Caenorhabditis elegans: one gene and its partner. The protein of the gene in region 1 purifies or fractionates together with the protein of each later gene. This does not show direct contact. Each region holds a gene or a part of one and is shown in the gene's direction. Other genes may lie near its edges.

What was found. The genes of interacting proteins can lie anywhere in the genome.
Region 2: the proteins of W03G1.2 (region 1) and mtcu-1 fractionate together in Caenorhabditis elegans (co-fractionation; one large-scale study listed by BioGRID). This does not show direct contact.

The regions. Positions count from the first base shown.
Region 1 is NC_003282.8:521,150-528,518, forward strand, and holds W03G1.2 (Ribosomal RNA-processing protein 8), read left to right. Parts: upstream 1-3,502; 5' UTR 3,503-3,547; coding exon 3,548-3,604; intron 3,605-3,666; coding exon 3,667-3,898; intron 3,899-4,378; coding exon 4,379-4,788; intron 4,789-4,841; coding exon 4,842-5,147; intron 5,148-5,191; coding exon 5,192-5,239; 3' UTR 5,240-5,342; downstream 5,343-7,369. Other genes in the region: Putative sphingomyelin phosphodiesterase asm-3, read right to left, coding at 1-111, 649-729, 782-892, 941-1,233, 1,607-1,729, 1,885-1,976, 2,192-2,264, 2,324-2,496 and 1 more.
Region 2 is NC_003279.8:14,768,435-14,778,644, reverse strand, and holds mtcu-1 (TrmE-type G domain-containing protein), read left to right. Parts: upstream 1-3,637; 5' UTR 3,638-3,648; coding exon 3,649-3,715; intron 3,716-3,914; coding exon 3,915-4,182; intron 4,183-4,707; coding exon 4,708-4,839; intron 4,840-5,889; coding exon 5,890-6,172; intron 6,173-7,326; coding exon 7,327-7,733; intron 7,734-7,779; coding exon 7,780-7,942; 3' UTR 7,943-7,956; downstream 7,957-10,210. Other genes in the region: sur-2 (Mediator of RNA polymerase II transcription subunit 23), read left to right, coding at 173-595, 1,243-1,368; F39B2.5 (SH2 domain-containing protein), read left to right, coding at 2,008-2,054, 2,107-2,231, 2,280-2,398, 3,103-3,390; gpr-158 (G-protein coupled receptors family 3 profile domain-containing protein), read left to right, coding at 9,719-10,128.

The DNA.
Region 1 (7,369 bases):
GGGATATGTGCAACGATATGTACCTTGTCTCCAACATTTTCTGCATCTTGGAGCTGGTTGATGAGCCATTGAAGGGTGCCATCTGGGTCAGTTTGGTTGATGTATAGCCAGCTGAAAACATTATTATTGTAATCCTACAGTACCGCTACCGTACCCCTAGCCTGCCCCAATCATAACGTACCGTGTCCCTACCGTATCCCTACCGTATTCTTATCGTACAGTGTCCTTACCGTAACTCTGCCGTCTCCCTACCGTATCCCTCTCGTACACCAGTTATACCACACCGTGTCCCTACTGCATCCGTTTTGTACCGCGCCGATACTGTACCTCTACCGTACCCTACCATATTGTTCCCGTATCTCGCGGTACCCCAACCGTACCTCACCATACCTTTAATGTACCACCACCGTACCTTATCCTACCGTATTCTACCGTACCCCAACAGTACCCCAACAGTGCCATATGATGTCTGCCTAAGACCCCACCGTACACCTATCATACCCCTAATCATAAAGCACCTATATTGTATGTTACCGTACCTCGACAGTACCCCTATCGCAAAACTACCGTACTCCTAACATACTCTTACCGTACCCTTACCGTATCCTGTCGTACCCCTCCCGTACACCTCACCGTACCCTCACTTACAAATTGATGCGATCTCCATAAACATTATTCAGCGAAATCATTCGAAGCCCATCATAGATCTTCTTCATGTAGCATCCGTTACTGAAATTGAGATGCTTACAATTTTTTTCCCAAACTCTTCAAAAAACCCAACTATTCCAAACTCTTCTCCTGATCCGCTGGAATCCATCCCTGCCAGGCGTTTGACATGGCCTTGTAGAGCCAATCCATATGATACTTCTTCGGTGTGAAATGTGGTGCAATACTGTAAAAATGGTCGTGAGTGATAAACATAGAATACAAGTTCACCCACTTATCAACAGGAACTCCTTCATGATTCCCGACTGCAAAGTAGACCGGAGTTTTTGGGAAATACGAGCGAATCGTATCCGACAAGTTTTTTACCATAAACGAGTGGGTTTCCGGAGTGTACGCCCAAACTGTATGGGACACAAGGTCTCCGGATACCATAATGTAGTCCAGTTTTCCAGCGGTACTTGCGATGTTTTGGAGCATGTTCGTGAGAAGCCAATAAGGTGTGTCGCACGAACCAACACTTCCCCAAGGTCCAGCAGGTTGTTTGACATCTCCGTTTTCAACGATTTCCTGAAAAAAGTTAAGGGTTTATACGTGCCTACGTGAGGATCGCGCCGATCAATCAGCGACAAGAGCCACGCCCTTTGTGCATCGCTGATTGGTCGGCGGCCTCTTCAATTACGCGCGAAGTCAAATTTTTGAAATGCTTCTGACAAGTACTTGTTTTCTAGCGTTACATAGTCATATTTGTTAAAAGTGCAGAGTTCTGTAGAGGTTCTGTTAAGTATTTCTTCATTCAAAAATTTCAAATAGAAACCCCCCAACTTCGGGGGCTTCTCCTTCCCATCTCAACTTCCTTATCAAATAAATATTTTTCAGCAACCTTTGTGATCGTTGCTCTTTCTCCCTCTTTCTCAACAATTTTCCAAATTAAACACCATACCACATTCATATCTTGTGGTCGACAACATTGCGGAGTTCCACAGTCTGCCTCGAGCCCGACCGTGTAGAACATGTCAACATGAAGGTCGGTCAAGTGAAGTGCTCGCAGAGTTGGGTTGCCTGGCTGAAAATTGGAGGTTTTGTTGGTGTCGGGGTAGGCGCCTGTTTATGCCTACGTGCAAACCTACCACTTATCTAGTGGCATTCGGAAAATTTGGCAGTAGACAGTAGTAGGCAGGCATAGGTAGGCATACCTTTTTTGTCAAAAAAAAAACCTACCGGAACAACTTGTTTCGGCACGAATGGTGGCTGATTTCCAGGAATCGTCATGTTCCAAATTGTCGCCAATGGATCCACGAAGTCTCCGCAGTCTGAAATAATTCCAAATAGGCATGCAATCGTGCCTACCTACGCGCCTACATGCGTGACTAGCCTGAAAGATAGTGATCAGCTTGGCAGTCTACTAGAATCTTCTCAAGCCGCCCCGCACCCCATGTTCTATTAGGGCGGCGGGTCACTGTTACGCGTCGGTCTGGTAGTAGGCATGTAGGTAGGCATGTTTGTGCCTAGGCATGGTAGTACTTACCATTTTTCATAAGCAATCCGCAAAGTTGATGTGGAGTCACGAGAATTTGCTTGATGACATACATGAATTCGTCCTGAAATCTTTGATTTTCAATACATTTTTAAAATTAAATTAAATATTAATGTGTCTCACTGAGAAATCCGAAATAATAAAGTTACAGACATCATTATCTTCAATATGGAACGTTTCACAAATAAAAACCGCAATTTCCATAACACATTCTTCAGTCTTCTTTTCTCCCCACTCAAATTGCAAAAGGTCCACAATTGACTTGCATTCCTCGCATTCTGTCACCGCGAGGGTGCCTGGAAAATTTTTTCCTGGAATTTAAACACAAAAATGTAAATCTAAAACTCTACCCTGAAATGCGAGAGAAAGGACGAGAAGACCTAGGAGCATCGGAGCCGTATCGTTTCTGATGTTAAACGGGAGCAGCGGCGGAGGGGGAGAAGCCGAGGTTTCCAGTAATAAAGATAAGAAATTTGGAGCGGGAGAAGCACATGGCGATGACACGTTGGGAATGCTCACTGATTTTTGAACGACTTATCAGGTATGGAGACTACAAGTTTTTTGGAAACTATAACTTTTTGGAGAGGAAAAGTTCAAATATAGAAATTTTTCTTGAAAATGCACCAAAAAATGTGAATAAAACCTTTTTTCTGGACAAAGTGCCTACGTGCCTGCCTACTGCCTATTTTAGGCACGAGGCAGGCGCAGGTCGCCTAGTAGGCAGCTATCATTTTTGTATCGGCGCGAAAATTTCAAGAGAAACTACAACAATGGCATGTTTTCCTGCAATGTTGAAATTTTATGCCTGCCTACCGCCTATTTTAGGAATGTGTGTAGAACGAGGCAGGTGTAGGTGGTTCTAGTGGCCTGCAGACTAACATTTTTCGTGAACTTGAAAATTAAAAAATAACATTTTAACTAGTTGGGCTTTCCTGCCTGCCTATGGGCCTATCTACTGTAGGCAAAAGGCAGGCGTAGGCCGTTTCAAAGGCGTGTAGAAATTTTCGTGCGAAACCGAAAAAAGTTATGCAATATTAAATTAATATATATCTTCAAAACCAGAATACGTTTTTTCTACCTCTCTACCGCATATTTCTCGCCTGAAGGCATAGGTCGCCTTGCAGGCAAGTGGCACATTTGTGCTTATGTACATTGGAAAGGTTAAGAAAATGTTTTTTTTTAATTTAAATAAAATAAATTACTCCAAAAAACTGCACCAAAAGTTCAATTTAAAAAAAACGTGAACTTCAAAAATACGAGAAGATTCTTATCACATCCCCTACCCCCACTCTGAATTTTTTCATTATTTTTGTATTTCGAAACTTTCGCGTTGCATCTTCTCCCATCATGAAGAAATTGTCCAAAAAAAGCTCGAGAAGAAAAGTTAAAAATATTAACGAAAAAGTAAGTTGTGATTTTCGAAATTTTCAATTTCCAGGCGTCTTCCAGAACTAATTAAATTTCAGAAAAAGAAATCTAAGGCACGCAGTCATAAAAAGCAACAACTTCAAAAGTCGAAGCAACATGGTAAAAATAAGAAGACAAAAACTAAGTCAACTAGTGGATCTTTGTCGGTGGATAAATCGAAAGAGTCGGAAAAGATGTTGATAGCAAGGAAAAATGATTCAAGAACGGTGAATTACAAGGAAAAAGCACCGGAAGCTGTAAAAGATCATGAGATTCCTAATGCAAATCGCAGTGAGTTCTAGTGTTTTTTTTTTGAAATTTTTTTGGAAACTTTTAAAGGGCTCAGGAAAGTTTTTTAAACGGTTCGGAAGTTTTAGAAACCTTTGGAAAATTTCTGGAAGATTCTGGAAAGTTTTTGGAACGTCTGATGACTTTGAAAAATTCCAAAAATTTTCAGAAGCTTCTGGGAGCATCTAGACATTTTTGAAAGCTTATGAAAAATTTTTAAAGCCTCTGGAAACTCTTGAAACATTTTTTATTCGAAAAAAAAAAATCAATTTGAAACATTGAAATCCACGACGTCCACGTGGAAGCAAAATTATTTAATGACGTATAAAAAAAATTCCAACAAAAAAATTGTGCTTGCCTGTTCATCTTCTGCCTTTAGGTAGACACTAAAATGCCTACCTACCTTAGTAGGTAGGTAGGCAGGCATCTTTGTACCTACCTGAAAATCCAAAACCCTAACACCTCCACAATTTCCTGTTTCAGTTCCCGGAACGACACGGCTCAACGAACCGAAAAACATCGAGGTCACGAATCACGAGGTGGATGATAAGACGACGGAGCGAGTCTATAAGAAGTTGAGGGAAAAGAAGAAGTCGGCGGCGAAACCGAAACCAATCGATGCGAAAAGCAAGCTTCTGATGGATCGAGTGCCGAAAAAACCATATCGATTGAAGAATAAGCCCGATGGTATGATGTTGTGCGACGAGCCATCCACTTTCTACCGTACCAACACTTCAAAGAAGAAACTGAAGACGTCTTTACTTCCCGTTGAGGATTCTTATGATCACGTTCGAAAATTGGAGGACATTAAGAAGGAACCAGAGCAAGATGTGTACAAGGGTCAGGACGTCCCCACCTGGGCAGTAAAAATAGAACCAACTGACGATGACATGGTGAGTTATCTTTTTGTGTAGGTCTCAGGAAAAATAATTTTAAAAAATTTCAGAAAGAGACCGACGAGGCGATCACTGTGAGTACCGATCATTTGGAGATGTACCGAAACAAGAAGCTCAGTCTCAAAAGCATTCCCCCCACGAAACTGGTGCTCAACGAGCTACAACCGTTGGTGGAGTTGAAGAAGAGAGATGAAGTTCACTTTGAGACCGGGCTGGTGTTCTCCAACACGATTCGGAGTCTGTTGCTTGTCCATGAGAGTGCTCGAGCGCTGAGTGATGGAAAAGTGGATGATGAGTATTCCGACAAGAAGGTCCAGTTTGATACACAGGAACCGGAAGCAACATACATCTACTCGGTGAGATATTCCCGGCTGGGGAACAGCTAATTGAAAATTTTCAGAGAATCAACCCAATCGAATCGGCCAAAGCCGCTCGTTCTGGAAAGTGACACGCCAGCACTTCTACCACCAATACAACCACATCGAATTAGAACTGAACTTGATTTTGCCTTGATTTTATAAATAAAGTGTGCGTTCAGGGCTTAATTTAAAAATTTTTATTAATTTTAATAAGGAAATGCGAGCAAAAAAGTGAAAAAGGTTTCAATTTTTGCAGTGGGAGTGGATAGAAAGTAAAACAATGAAATCATTATGTGATGAGCGAGGTAAGGAATAACAGAAGAAGGCAATAAATACAAGTTTTTGAAAAAAATTTAAGTGAGAGTGGAGTAAATAAAAATGATGATGGGAGCTTAGTTCTGGACTTGGGAGGGAAATTGGTACTTACATTAGTTAATTTAGGTAAAAACCTGAAATTTTAAATTCCGGCAATTTTCCCTTTGGCCGATTTGCCGGAAATTTTTAAAGGGATTTTTTAACAGACGGATGAATTTTTTCTGTTTTTTCTACATATTTTCATAGAGCTTACTTTTAAAAATAGATGTAGGAACATTTATACGATGCGTACAATTTTGTCATTTGAAATTGAAACTCTGAAATTTCCAAAAAAAAAGTGCGAAACCACAATTTGCCGAGAATTTTTTCCGGCATATTTTCTAATAGTATTGCATGCGATACTAATTTCCGGATACCTTTTCAGTGCAATACTATTAGAGACTGCAAGACTAATTTCTTTGGGTGCAATACTAATAGAGAACATACGGTAATCGAAAAGTGAAATTAATATGCATTTTTAGGTTTAAAAAACACTAATTCTAAGCCTAATATAGACAAAAAAAGGCACGTTATATTTTCAAAATGATTGACTTTCTTTGGCAGGTATACTACACAAGTTCCGGAAAATTAAAAAAAAACTTTGAACAATAGAGTTTGTAATAGGAACAGCTTGAAAAATAGATGCAAAATGTAAGTTTTTCAAGATAATTCAGGCTCGCCCATTACAACAAAATTTTGAATGAAATTTGTAGAGGAGCACGAGTTTAATAACAATGAGTACAAGCAGTTTCCCAATCATCAAACCCAATATAGAACTCATCATATTCTGGGGGACTGGGGGCCCATTTCCTCACAGTTCCCAATCTGCCGACCTCATCTTCAGTGATCATATGGCCGACTTCATTCACTAATTCTCTCGCCACCATCATTGAATTTATCCTGGAACCCATTGCTGTGGTCAAGAGGTTTGTAATGTTACGAACATCATCAATAGTTTTTCTTTGTCTATTTCCACAATCACATTTTCGGATTTGAATACATCTTTCAATAATTTCACCAATCCCACAATTCGCTCATCCATAGTTTCCTTGTTATATGTAAAAACAAGAGCCGAGCTTGTGAAGCATTTTTGGGTGGCAACGCTTTCCGGTAGATTCCAAATTTTCCTTAGTGATTCAATATCCTTCTTCAATTCAGGAGCAAAAGAAAGATGAGGAAAACCTGGTTCCTCACATACTGCAACAAATATTCGTTTTGACACAAATATTATCAAGTTAAGTTTATAAAGATGTGTAAACTGTCTGACAGCTATCTTGGAATTCTGAGAAGCCATCGATAAGGATAATCTGAAAATTGTTATATAGTTAGACAGAAAAAACAGTATGGAAACACAGGAAGAGTATTTGAAACTATTAGGGTGAGAAATAAGTTTGTGGTTTTTTCTTGCGATATTTTTTCAAACTTTTATATGGTAGTTATAGGAAACTATGATTTGTGTACATTCAAATGTTGTGAATCAAATTTCTCGCTTCCATGCTTCTTGGAGCCACTTCTTGAATTTCAATAATTTCCAACTTCGATCCTTCGGTCCATTTTTGAAAAAGTTTCTCAGTGACGTGTGATTCAACAGGGCAATGAAATTCGATCGATTTCCATTTATTCACCGAGCTAATGATACTGTCGTTTGCAACAAACGCTTCTTTCACCACTCCCATCAGTCGCTCAATTTTCTCGGTTTCGCCGAACAATTTTCGGAACGCTCCATCGATAGTGGTCTGCTTTCAAAGTTCACGCAAATTCGATCTGGATCCTCGACTCGAAACGTTTGAGCAATTTTATGGAACGTGTAATCTTCAAAGTTCTCAAAGAAATTGGAGGAGAATGTCAAACTGTACGCTGTTTGT
Region 2 (10,210 bases), on another chromosome or scaffold:
AGTCGGCTAATTCGGTTAATTGGTAAAAAACCGCGGCTAACGGATAAATCACCTAATATTAGCCGAATCAGCCATTCCGCGAATTCGGCTAAATCGGCTAATATCCGCACACTTCTGGTCAATACACTCGATTTTGGGTCAAAAATCACTATTTCTCAAATCAAATTTCTAGGCTCACCAACCTCTCGAATCAACACCTTCCGTTTCCTCACTACCGCAAATGCAACATCATCTACAACAAGCACCACTACTACCATCACATCAAATGATGCCTCCACCACAACAACATTCATCCTCACTTCAACATCATCTACAACATCATACATCTACACATCAAATGATGGATACATCACAACATCAGACAATTCAACAACAATCAAATCATCCTACTCAACAACAACTTCAACATCAAATTCCGAATATGTCGATGCATCAACAAATGGGACCTCAATATCCTGGTGCAGTTTTTCATCATCCATCTGGACCTGTGGGACATGTCCCAATGCAATATGGAATGGGACATCATATGCAACAGCACCCACATCTTCCACATCATCAGCAAATGCCGGCACCTATGCATACAATGAATCCTATGGTAAACATTTGGAAAATTTCGAAAAAAATAATTTTTAAAATCACTTGATAGATTCAAAATTTTTTCGAAAATTCCAAAAATAAAAAAAAGGTTCTAAACATTCCCAAAAGTTTTGAGAACTTCAAAATTTTCGAAATTTCCAACAAAAACAAATTGAAAGTTTTCTCCAACTTTTAGAAATTCCCAAAAAAAAATTCCAATCTTACAGAACATCTGAAAAATCTGAAATTCCATAAGCTTTAAAAAACCAAATTTTCAAAAGTTTCGGTAAATTTCTTTTTCTACCCCGCATTTTTAAAAGAATATTCAATAAAATTGAATTTTTCGAATTTAAATCGATTTTTTCCAAAAAAAAAATCAAAGAATTCCAAAAAAAAATCCAAAATTTCCTGAAAATTAAAAAAAGGTTTTCAATTTTGTCCGAAAAAAAATCAAAGAATTCCAAAAAAAATTCCAAAATTTCCTAAACATTAAAAAAAAATGGTTTTCAATTTTTTTTCCGAAAAAAAATCAAAGAATTCCAAAAAAAAAGCTAAATTTCCTAAAACTTCAAAAAAGGGGTTTCGATGTATTTTGCAAAAATAAAACACAATTTCCGAAAAAAAAATTTTTTCCAAAAATCCTCGAATTCCAAAAAAAATTTCCAGATGCAAAACATGACTCCTCAACAGCAATATCTCTACATGCAACAACTTCAACAACATCAGCAACATCAACAGTACATGCAACAGCAACAACAGCATCACCATCAACACCAACAGCAACCTCATTAATTTTTTTTCATAATTTACCTAGTTTTTTACAATTTACCATCATATATTTGAAAAATCTCACTGATTACGGTTATGTACATATATTTATTATTGTTTATAGTTTTTTACTTCAAAATTTTCATAAAATTTTATTTTTCTTATTCTTTTTCAATCTTTTTTTCAATTTAAAGATTAAAAATCTTTCAATATCTCGACCCCTAACACTGTACAATGTCGATTTACGCAGCTCGTGTACTCCCCGAGGATAAGTGAAAAATCAATGGTTTTGGTCAAAATTGCATGTTTTGCTTAAATTTTGGATTTTGGCTTCTTTTTTAAATTCAAACAAATTTGTCGATTGGCCGATATGCCGGAATCTTTCAATTACGGCAATTTGCCGATTTGCCGGGAATTTCCATTTTCATGCAAAATAATTGCTGATTTAATAATATATGGCGCCCACGCCTGGAAACAGCGACGGTTTTTTGAAAAAGAGATATAATTGCGATTTGAACATTAAATTCGGAAAGAATCGGATCATAATCTTCTCCTCGTGGAGTACACGACTTCCGTAAATCGACAATCTTCAATTTTAAAATTCAATTAATTTTGTTAAGATTGAAACTATTTTCAGTAACAAAAGTTTCCTTCAATGCTCCTATGCCCTCCAACAAGGTGATTTGTTCTGATCTTTACGATTGTGATTGGTAAACAATAAAATAACTGAAAAAAGATTTAAATATGCCTATTTTATTCCAGGTATTGGGGAGATTTGGACTGGAAATGGGCAGAACGGCTGCTCCTTTTGTGCCCAATCGGATATTTTTTAATTCGAGACAGTCGAAGTGAAACTCATCTTTTCACTGTTTCTTATCATTTTCAAGGTATTGTTTTTCAAAAAATCAATTTTTTCCAAATAAATATAATTTCAGATAGAGTCTATCATTCGCGCTTGTCACTTGAAGATTCACGACGGAATTTGGGTAGTCGGCAGCCATACGTCTCACGTGACTATTGGAATCTTGTGGAAATTATTGAGAGAAGTTTAGAGGTATGTAGTACATTTAAAAATATCTATGATTTTTGATTTTAAAAAAATCGGAAAAGAGTAAAACTTTAAAAAAAAATTGTGACAGGCCAAAAAGGTCGAAAATATTTTTCGAAGAGTTAAAAAAAATCGAAATTTTCCCAAAATGTTTCCGGAAATCGAAAATATATTTTTTTAAAAGCAAATTATTTTTCCGAAAAACGGAAAAAAACTATTTTTTTTAAGTGAAAATAATTATTTTTCTTTTTAAAAAATTCGAAAACTAAAAAAATTCAAATTTTCCGAAAGTATGTCCTTTTTTTCTCAAAATTAGAAATTAAAAAAGAGTATTAATCAAAAAAAAATTTTTCGGAACATAATTTTAAAAATTAAAATTGAAAAACAAATCAAACACAATACAACCATTTTTTTTCATAAAATCGAGAAAAAATCCTTTTTTTTTCGAAAAACCAAAAAAAAATCACGAGAAAAATAATCGATTGTTCTAAAAAAAATTCACTTTTTTGCAGAAAAAAATTAAAAAATCACCATTTTTGTTCACAAAAAAAACCACATTCCCGAAAGAAAATAGTTCAGTTTTTTCAGAAATTAGTTTTTTTTTCAAAAATCCGAAAAAAACTGAGTTTTTCAAGCAAAAAAATAATTTAATGTTTCAAAAATCAAAAAAAATCGTAGTTTTTCGGAAAAAAACACTAAACTTTTTTCAGCAATCCCTAACAGGACAACAAGAAATGCTCCACTATCGACGTGGACATGAAGCCGAAGCAGCGCGTGTCAATTTAACACGTCCACTCACAAAACGAGAGCTTCTACCATCACTACAGTACCTCTGTCGATTTACCCTGAAAACGAGTCAACAAAAACCACCGACACCCAAAACAGCTCCTCTGCCACCAACGATTTTAAAGTATTTGAGTGATTCGAAATGGATTATTCCTGATTTGAAGAAATGTGAAGAGCAATTGAAATTAAGATTTTGTGTAATTAATAATTAATTGTTTTAGTTTTGAATTATATCGAATTACGGGGTTTTTTTTGAATGCTTAATAAATAACTTTTTTCTCTCAAATTTAAGTTATATATTCATAAAATCTCGGTTTCTTTCCAGAAAAATTGTCACGGATCCTGTTTTTTATTAAATTTTCAAACATTTTTTTAAGATCGTGAAAATTTTGAAATTAAAAAAAAGAACCTTTCGAGTAATCAAATTTTTTTTTAATTGGAAAAGAATAATTTTTTCAGGCATTTAGAAAATGTCGACAATCTTCGCCCTATCGTCTGGCACATTGCCAAGCGCAATTGCGATGTTCCGCGTTTCAGGTTAATTTTCAGAACAATTGAAAAAAAAAATTCCATTAGGTTACGAATGGTTCATTTTGAAAAAATTTCTGCCAAAATAGCCATAAACAATATAAAAATCTCTGAAAAAATTCGTACGATGCTCTTGCGAAACCCCCCCCCCCCCCAAAAAAAGGCTTTCTGAGCTTACTGTTCACAGTATTCACAGTATTTTTTCCAGGATCACAAAGCCTCCCCGTACTCCGCCAGCTGAGCCGTCGAAAAGTTTGGAAGCCGAAAACGATGAAATACACGAAATTGTACGATTCAGAGAGCAAAATCATCGATGAAGCAATGGCGGTATATCTTCCCGGCCCGAAAACGTTTACCGGAGAAGACACAGCCGAGTTTTTTCTACATGGAAGTCAGGCCGTGGCCGTGAAGTTTGCCTCATGTTTGGCTGGAATTCAAAATGTTCGAGAAGCGAAGCGAGGAGAATTCACGAGGAGGTTATTATTAGCATACGATTTTCAAAAATCGGGGTTCAAACCAGGGATGGGCAGCAATTGCCGTTCGGCAAATTTTTTTCGACAAATTCGGCGATTCCGGCAATTTGCCGATTTGCCGGAAATTTCAATTCCGACAATTTGCTGATTTGCCGATTTGCCAATTTGCCGGAAAAATTGTTTGCCGTCCACCCCTGGTTAAAACGCGCTCCACGGCTAAAAGTTGGGTCTCGCTAGGTTTTGGCTGCTGCAAAACCGTAATTTCGAACGTTTTCAATAAGTTTTCGTTATTTTTGTTATGTTTCCTGTCGTTTATTAATTAATTTTATGTTGAAAAAATGTCCAAAAGTGCTTTAATTTTTCATTTAACCATGAAAACAAAATAACATTAGAGTTTTTGGTTTTGCCGCCGAATAAAAATTCCAAACTTTCCGCAGTTGAGCGCGCTTGCACATCTGTTTCAAAATATTTTGAATGCATTTAAATGCACATTTTGGGTCTCTATAATAACTCTTAGTTAATTTACAGAGCATTTCACAACGGAAAATTGAGCATTTCCGAGGTTCGAGGAATCGATCGGCTAATTAAATCTCGAACCGAAAAAGAACGAAATGCGGCATTTGGTCAAATGCGTGGTGGAGTTCGAGCTATTGAAATAAGGTATTGAAGTGAGAAAAATTGGAATTTTATATTGTTCGCAAGCAATTTGAAAAAACAAAAAAATCCCTCGAGATTTGGAATTTTTGGAAAAAAAAACTTAAAAAAAAAAGGAAAAAAAAAGATTTATAGGGATTTTTAAAAATTTCATTAAAACTTATGATATCGTACGAGCTTTTCAATAATACATTTTTTCAAATTGCCGGAATAGAAATGTCCGGCAAATCGACAATTTGTCGGTATTGAAAACTTCCGGCGAATCAGAAAATTGCTGGAATTGAAATTTCCGGCAAATCGGCAAATTGCTGGAATTGAAATTTCCGGCAAATCGGCAAATTGCTGGAATTGAAATTTCCGGCAAATCGGCAAATTGCTGGAATTGAAATTTCCGGCAAATCGGCAAATTGCTGGAATTGAAATTTCCGGCAAATCGGCAAATTGCTGGAATTGAAATTTCCGGCAAATCGGCAAATTGCTGGAATTGAAATTTCCGGCAAATCGGCAAATTGCTGGAATTGAAATTTCCGACAAATCGGCAAATTGCTGGAATTGAAATTTCCGGCAAATCGGCAAATTGCTGGAATTGAAATTTCCGGCAAATCGGCAAATTGCTGGAATTGAAATTTCCGGCAAATCGGCAAATTGCTGGAATTGAAATTTCCGGCAAATCGGCAAATTGCTGGAATTGAAATTTCCGGCAAATCGGCAAATTGCTGGAATTGAAATTTCCGGCAAATCGGCAAATTGCTGGAATTGAAATTTCCGGCAAATCGGCAAATTGCTGGAATTGAAATTTCCGGCAAATCGGCAAATTGCTGGAATTGAAATTTCCGGCAAATCGACAAATTTCTGGAATGGAAATTTCCGGGAAATCGGCAACTTGCCGGAATTGAAATTACCGATAAATCGACAATTTGCCGGAATTGGAAATTTCCGGCAAATCGGAAAATTGCCGGAATTGAAATTTTCGGCAAACCGGCAATTTGCCAATTTGCTGAATTTGTCGACAAAAACTTCGTGCCGCATACCCCTGACATTTACTCTCAATTTCAGGAAGCAATTAATTCAAATTCTATCGAAACTATTTGTGATCATTGATTTTGGAGAACACGTGAACTTGGAATTACGCGAAGCTCAACAAGATGTCTCTGAAATTCTTCATGAACTCAATCGAATGATCAAAGCGTGGGATGGTGCAGAACGGGCTCAACGTGGATTGGATATTGTGCTCTATGGAAGACCGAATTCCGGAAAATCAAGCATTTTAAATCAGTTAGCGCATGATGACGTGGCAATTGTTAGCTCGATTCCTGGAACCACGAGAGATAGTTTGGAAGTAAAAATGATCATATAAACCTATTGAAGTGTTAAAATTTTTCAAATTTTTCAAAAATTAACCAAAAAATTTCAATCAAATTTTCTTTTGCGATTTTTTTTTCTGAAACTAAAATCAGTTTTTCCAAAACTACAGTAATCCTACAGTATTCCCTACAATACTACTACAGTACTCCAATCATATCCCCCTATTAACACCAAACTAATAACCCTTCAAAATACGAAAAACCAGTTTTTCTCCAACTACAGTAACCCTACAGTAATCCTACAGTATTCCCTACAGTACTACTACAGTACCCTAGCCACGTTCCCTTGAACAATCAATTTTGAAACTCCTCTAAAACACACAATTTTGAAATTTAAAAAGTGGCAAAAATTCCAATTTTTTGTAAAAATTCACAATTTTGAAACTCTTCTAAAATGGGCAATTTTGTAGCTAGAGGACTCAAAATTGATCTGCAAACATTAAAAAAATTTTCCTTTTTAAGAATATAATAGTTTTGAACATTTTTAGGGAAATTATTTTTTTGCCCAAAATAAAAAAAGGATAGTCATTAGATGGCTGAAAATAGTTTGGGCAAAAATAAAAAGTTGTCTAAATTTGTTGAAAACGGGTAATTTATGTATGTTGAATTCAGAAAATCTAGGTTTAACCCGTCAAAAACTTTTAAAAAGTGGCAAAAATGGCAGATTTATGGCAAAAATTCACAATTTTGAATCTTCTCTAAAATGGGCAATTTTGTAGCTAGAGGACTCAAAATTGATTTAGGATTATAAAAAAATTGACCTTTTTCAGAATATAGTAGTTTTAAACATTTTCAGAAAAATTATTTTTTTGCCCAAAATAAAAAAAAAGGACAGTCATTAGATGGCTGAAAATAATTTGGGCAAAAATAAAAAGTTGTCTAAATTTGTTGAAAACGGGTAATTTATGTATGTTGAATTCAGAAAATCTAGGTTTAACCCGTCAAAAACTATTAAAAAGTGGCAAAAATGGCCAATTTATAGCAAAAATTCACAATTTTGAATCTTCTCTAAAACGGGCAATTTTGTAGCTCAAAAGACGAAAAGTCAATTTTTCGAAAACTACGGTAATCCTACAGTACTCCTAGAGTGCCTGGAAAATGTTCCAAACATTAATTGAAAATCTTACAGACAATCATTCAAATTAACGGAGTTCGATGCCGTCTCACAGACACTGCTGGAGTTCGACAAAAAACTAATGACGTCATTGAGGCAGAAGGTATTCGACGTGCTCAAAAACGAATCCAATCAGCTGACATTATCTGCGTTGTCGTGGATCCACAATTCACGTCGGATGACGATGTTGAATCGATTTTGAATGACGTGGAAGTGATGCGAAATCGCGAAGCTCGTGTGATTATTGCAAAGAATAAGTCTGATCTGAGTCTGAAGTATCCAAAACTTCCCTCAAATTTCACTACTGTATCTACAAATGCTACCACAGATACTGGCTGCAAACAACTTCAAAACTGTTTGGGAGAAATTGTAGATGATCTGTGTCCTGAAGCAAGTTATTTACTAGATGCAGATCTGTTAAGGTTTTTTTTTGTCAAAAAATAATATTCAAAGTTGTTTTAATTTCAGAAGATGCTCATTCGAATTGGAGTCAGCTGTAACGTGTAACGACGCAGCAATCATGTGTTCACATCTGGAAGTTGCCTTGGAACAAATCGGAGAGCTCACCGAGGGAATTGTCACTGAAAGTGTTCTAGATGGAATTTTTAGCAAATTTTGTATCGGAAAATAAAAGCTTTGACCATTTTTGGCACTTTTAAATAGTTTTTTTTTGGGTTAAACCTAGATTTTCTGAATTCAGCGTGTATGAATTACCCGTTTTCACCTTTTGATTTTTGCCCAATTTTTTTTCAGCCATCTAATGACTGTCCTTTTTTTATTTTGGGCAAAAAAAAAAGTTTTCTGAAAATGTTCAAAGCCACTATATTCTGATAATGGACAATTTTTTAGTCTTTATAGATCAATTTAGAGTCATCTAACTTCAAAATTGCCCATTTTAGATGTGTTTCAAAGTTGTGAATTTTTGCCATAAATTGCCCATTTTTGCCATTTTTTAATAGTTTTTGATGGGTTATACCTAGATTTTCTGAAAATTTTTTTTCGGCCATCTAATGACTGTCCTTTTTCTTTTATTTTGGGCAAAAAAATAATTTTTCTCAAAGTGTGCAAAACCACTATATTCTGAAAAAAGGCAATTTTTTATTGTTTGGAGATAAATTTTGAGTCGCCTAGCTATAAAATTAACCATTTTAGAAGAGTTTCAACATTTTGGTTTCGCCCTTTTTTTGTGGTCAAAAAAAATTTATGTTCTGAAGTTGTTCAAAATCACTAATAAGTGAAAAAGAAAAAAAGTCGTTTTTTAATTCAAAAACTACAACGGTAGAAGTCTCCTTAAGAACTCTTTTCTCTCTCTCTCTCTTCTTGTCTCTTTTCCAGTGCCTAATTATATTATGGGAAAGCAGACACTCATATCTCATTTGACTCCCGATTTCTGTCAAAACGTCTCATTTTGCACAAGTATCATCTATTTTCTGTAAAAGGTTTTGTTTCTGTGAAAAGTATGTGTGTGTGAAAAAGAAATTGGGATCGTATATAGTATTATAGTATTGTTTGTTCTCCGTCCTTTTGTCTCATGACTCATTGATCAAATCTAGAAATCGGGAAAATTCCCACAAATCAGTGAAAGCCATTCAGTTTTAGAATGTGTTTTGGGATACTAACAATAGTCCATCAAGGTAGTTATGTAAAATAATACTTATCAGATAATGCAAACAACATAATGACCAACGTTTTGTTAGTTGACCGTTTTCGAAAAAAATGTTCAGTTTTGAGTTATGCTTAATTAAACACCACCCGATATTCATGAAAAAACCGTTTGTACATACCTTTATGGCCAGCACTGTAGTTGGATTCAAATTCAGCTAGAGACGAAGACAAGTATTACTTTTCAAAATCCAATGTGCTGACTTGTGACCCATATATTGGCGTATACCGTGTATATCGGATCCATAATGTTGATTTTAAAGACCATATTCATCCACAGAACCCATTTAAAGATATAAGTATGGGGTTAGTCAACTGAGGTCCTCATTACATTAAGTCGTTACAAAAGATTTATTTTGTTCTGAATGTGTGTGTGTGTGTATGCGAATGCATTTAGGCTAACTAACACCCCCCTCCCCCCAATCCATCCGAAAATAAATAAAAAAACAAGACACTCATGTGTAATACATGGGAGGGGGGACGCCTTCTATCTTTTCAACGTCTTCTCCTTTTTGAGCAAAGAAGAAGAAGAAGAAGAAGAAGAAGAAGACTTTTCCTTTTTTTGTGAGAAGACGACGCAGACGTTACAAGAGCACAAAGTTTCTCATTGTGTCTGTCACCTCTTCAATCTTTCTAGGGTCCTCTCACGGCCTGGAGCCTCTCCCTTCAGCAGCACACGGGCTATTGCTGCACACACACACAGAGCCGCCGTCGCCGCCGCCAGCAGAGCACACACTCTGAATCGATGAGGCGTCCGACGACGACGACGTCGTCATCGTCGTCATACACTCCATGGTATCATCACATATTTATTATCTTTCTACAGTATTCCTTGTTTCATATATCACCGACATTCGGGGCGCGTAACACCGTTACTGAAGGTGGACAGCCGCTGACCGAGCTCCTCAGCTCGCTAGATCAACCCTACCCATGTGGGCATGTAGTTGAAGCAGAGCACTTTCTGTCAACAGCGGTTGCACTGAAATTTCCTAGGCTTATTCAACTTGCACACTTTTTTGCGAATCATTCAAAAAATTTTGATCCGCAGCTTCTTGACAAATCGTCATTTCAACAAATTCCACCATTCGATGTTTCGTTTGCAAGAAGAACACACTTTTATGGGCTACAGCTCAATTGCACTGGGAATAACCATCGGTGAGCATTTCTAATAGAAGGCACTTTGGTACAGTAACTCGTTGGTCACAATTGCCCTCTATTTTCTTGAGATTAACTATGT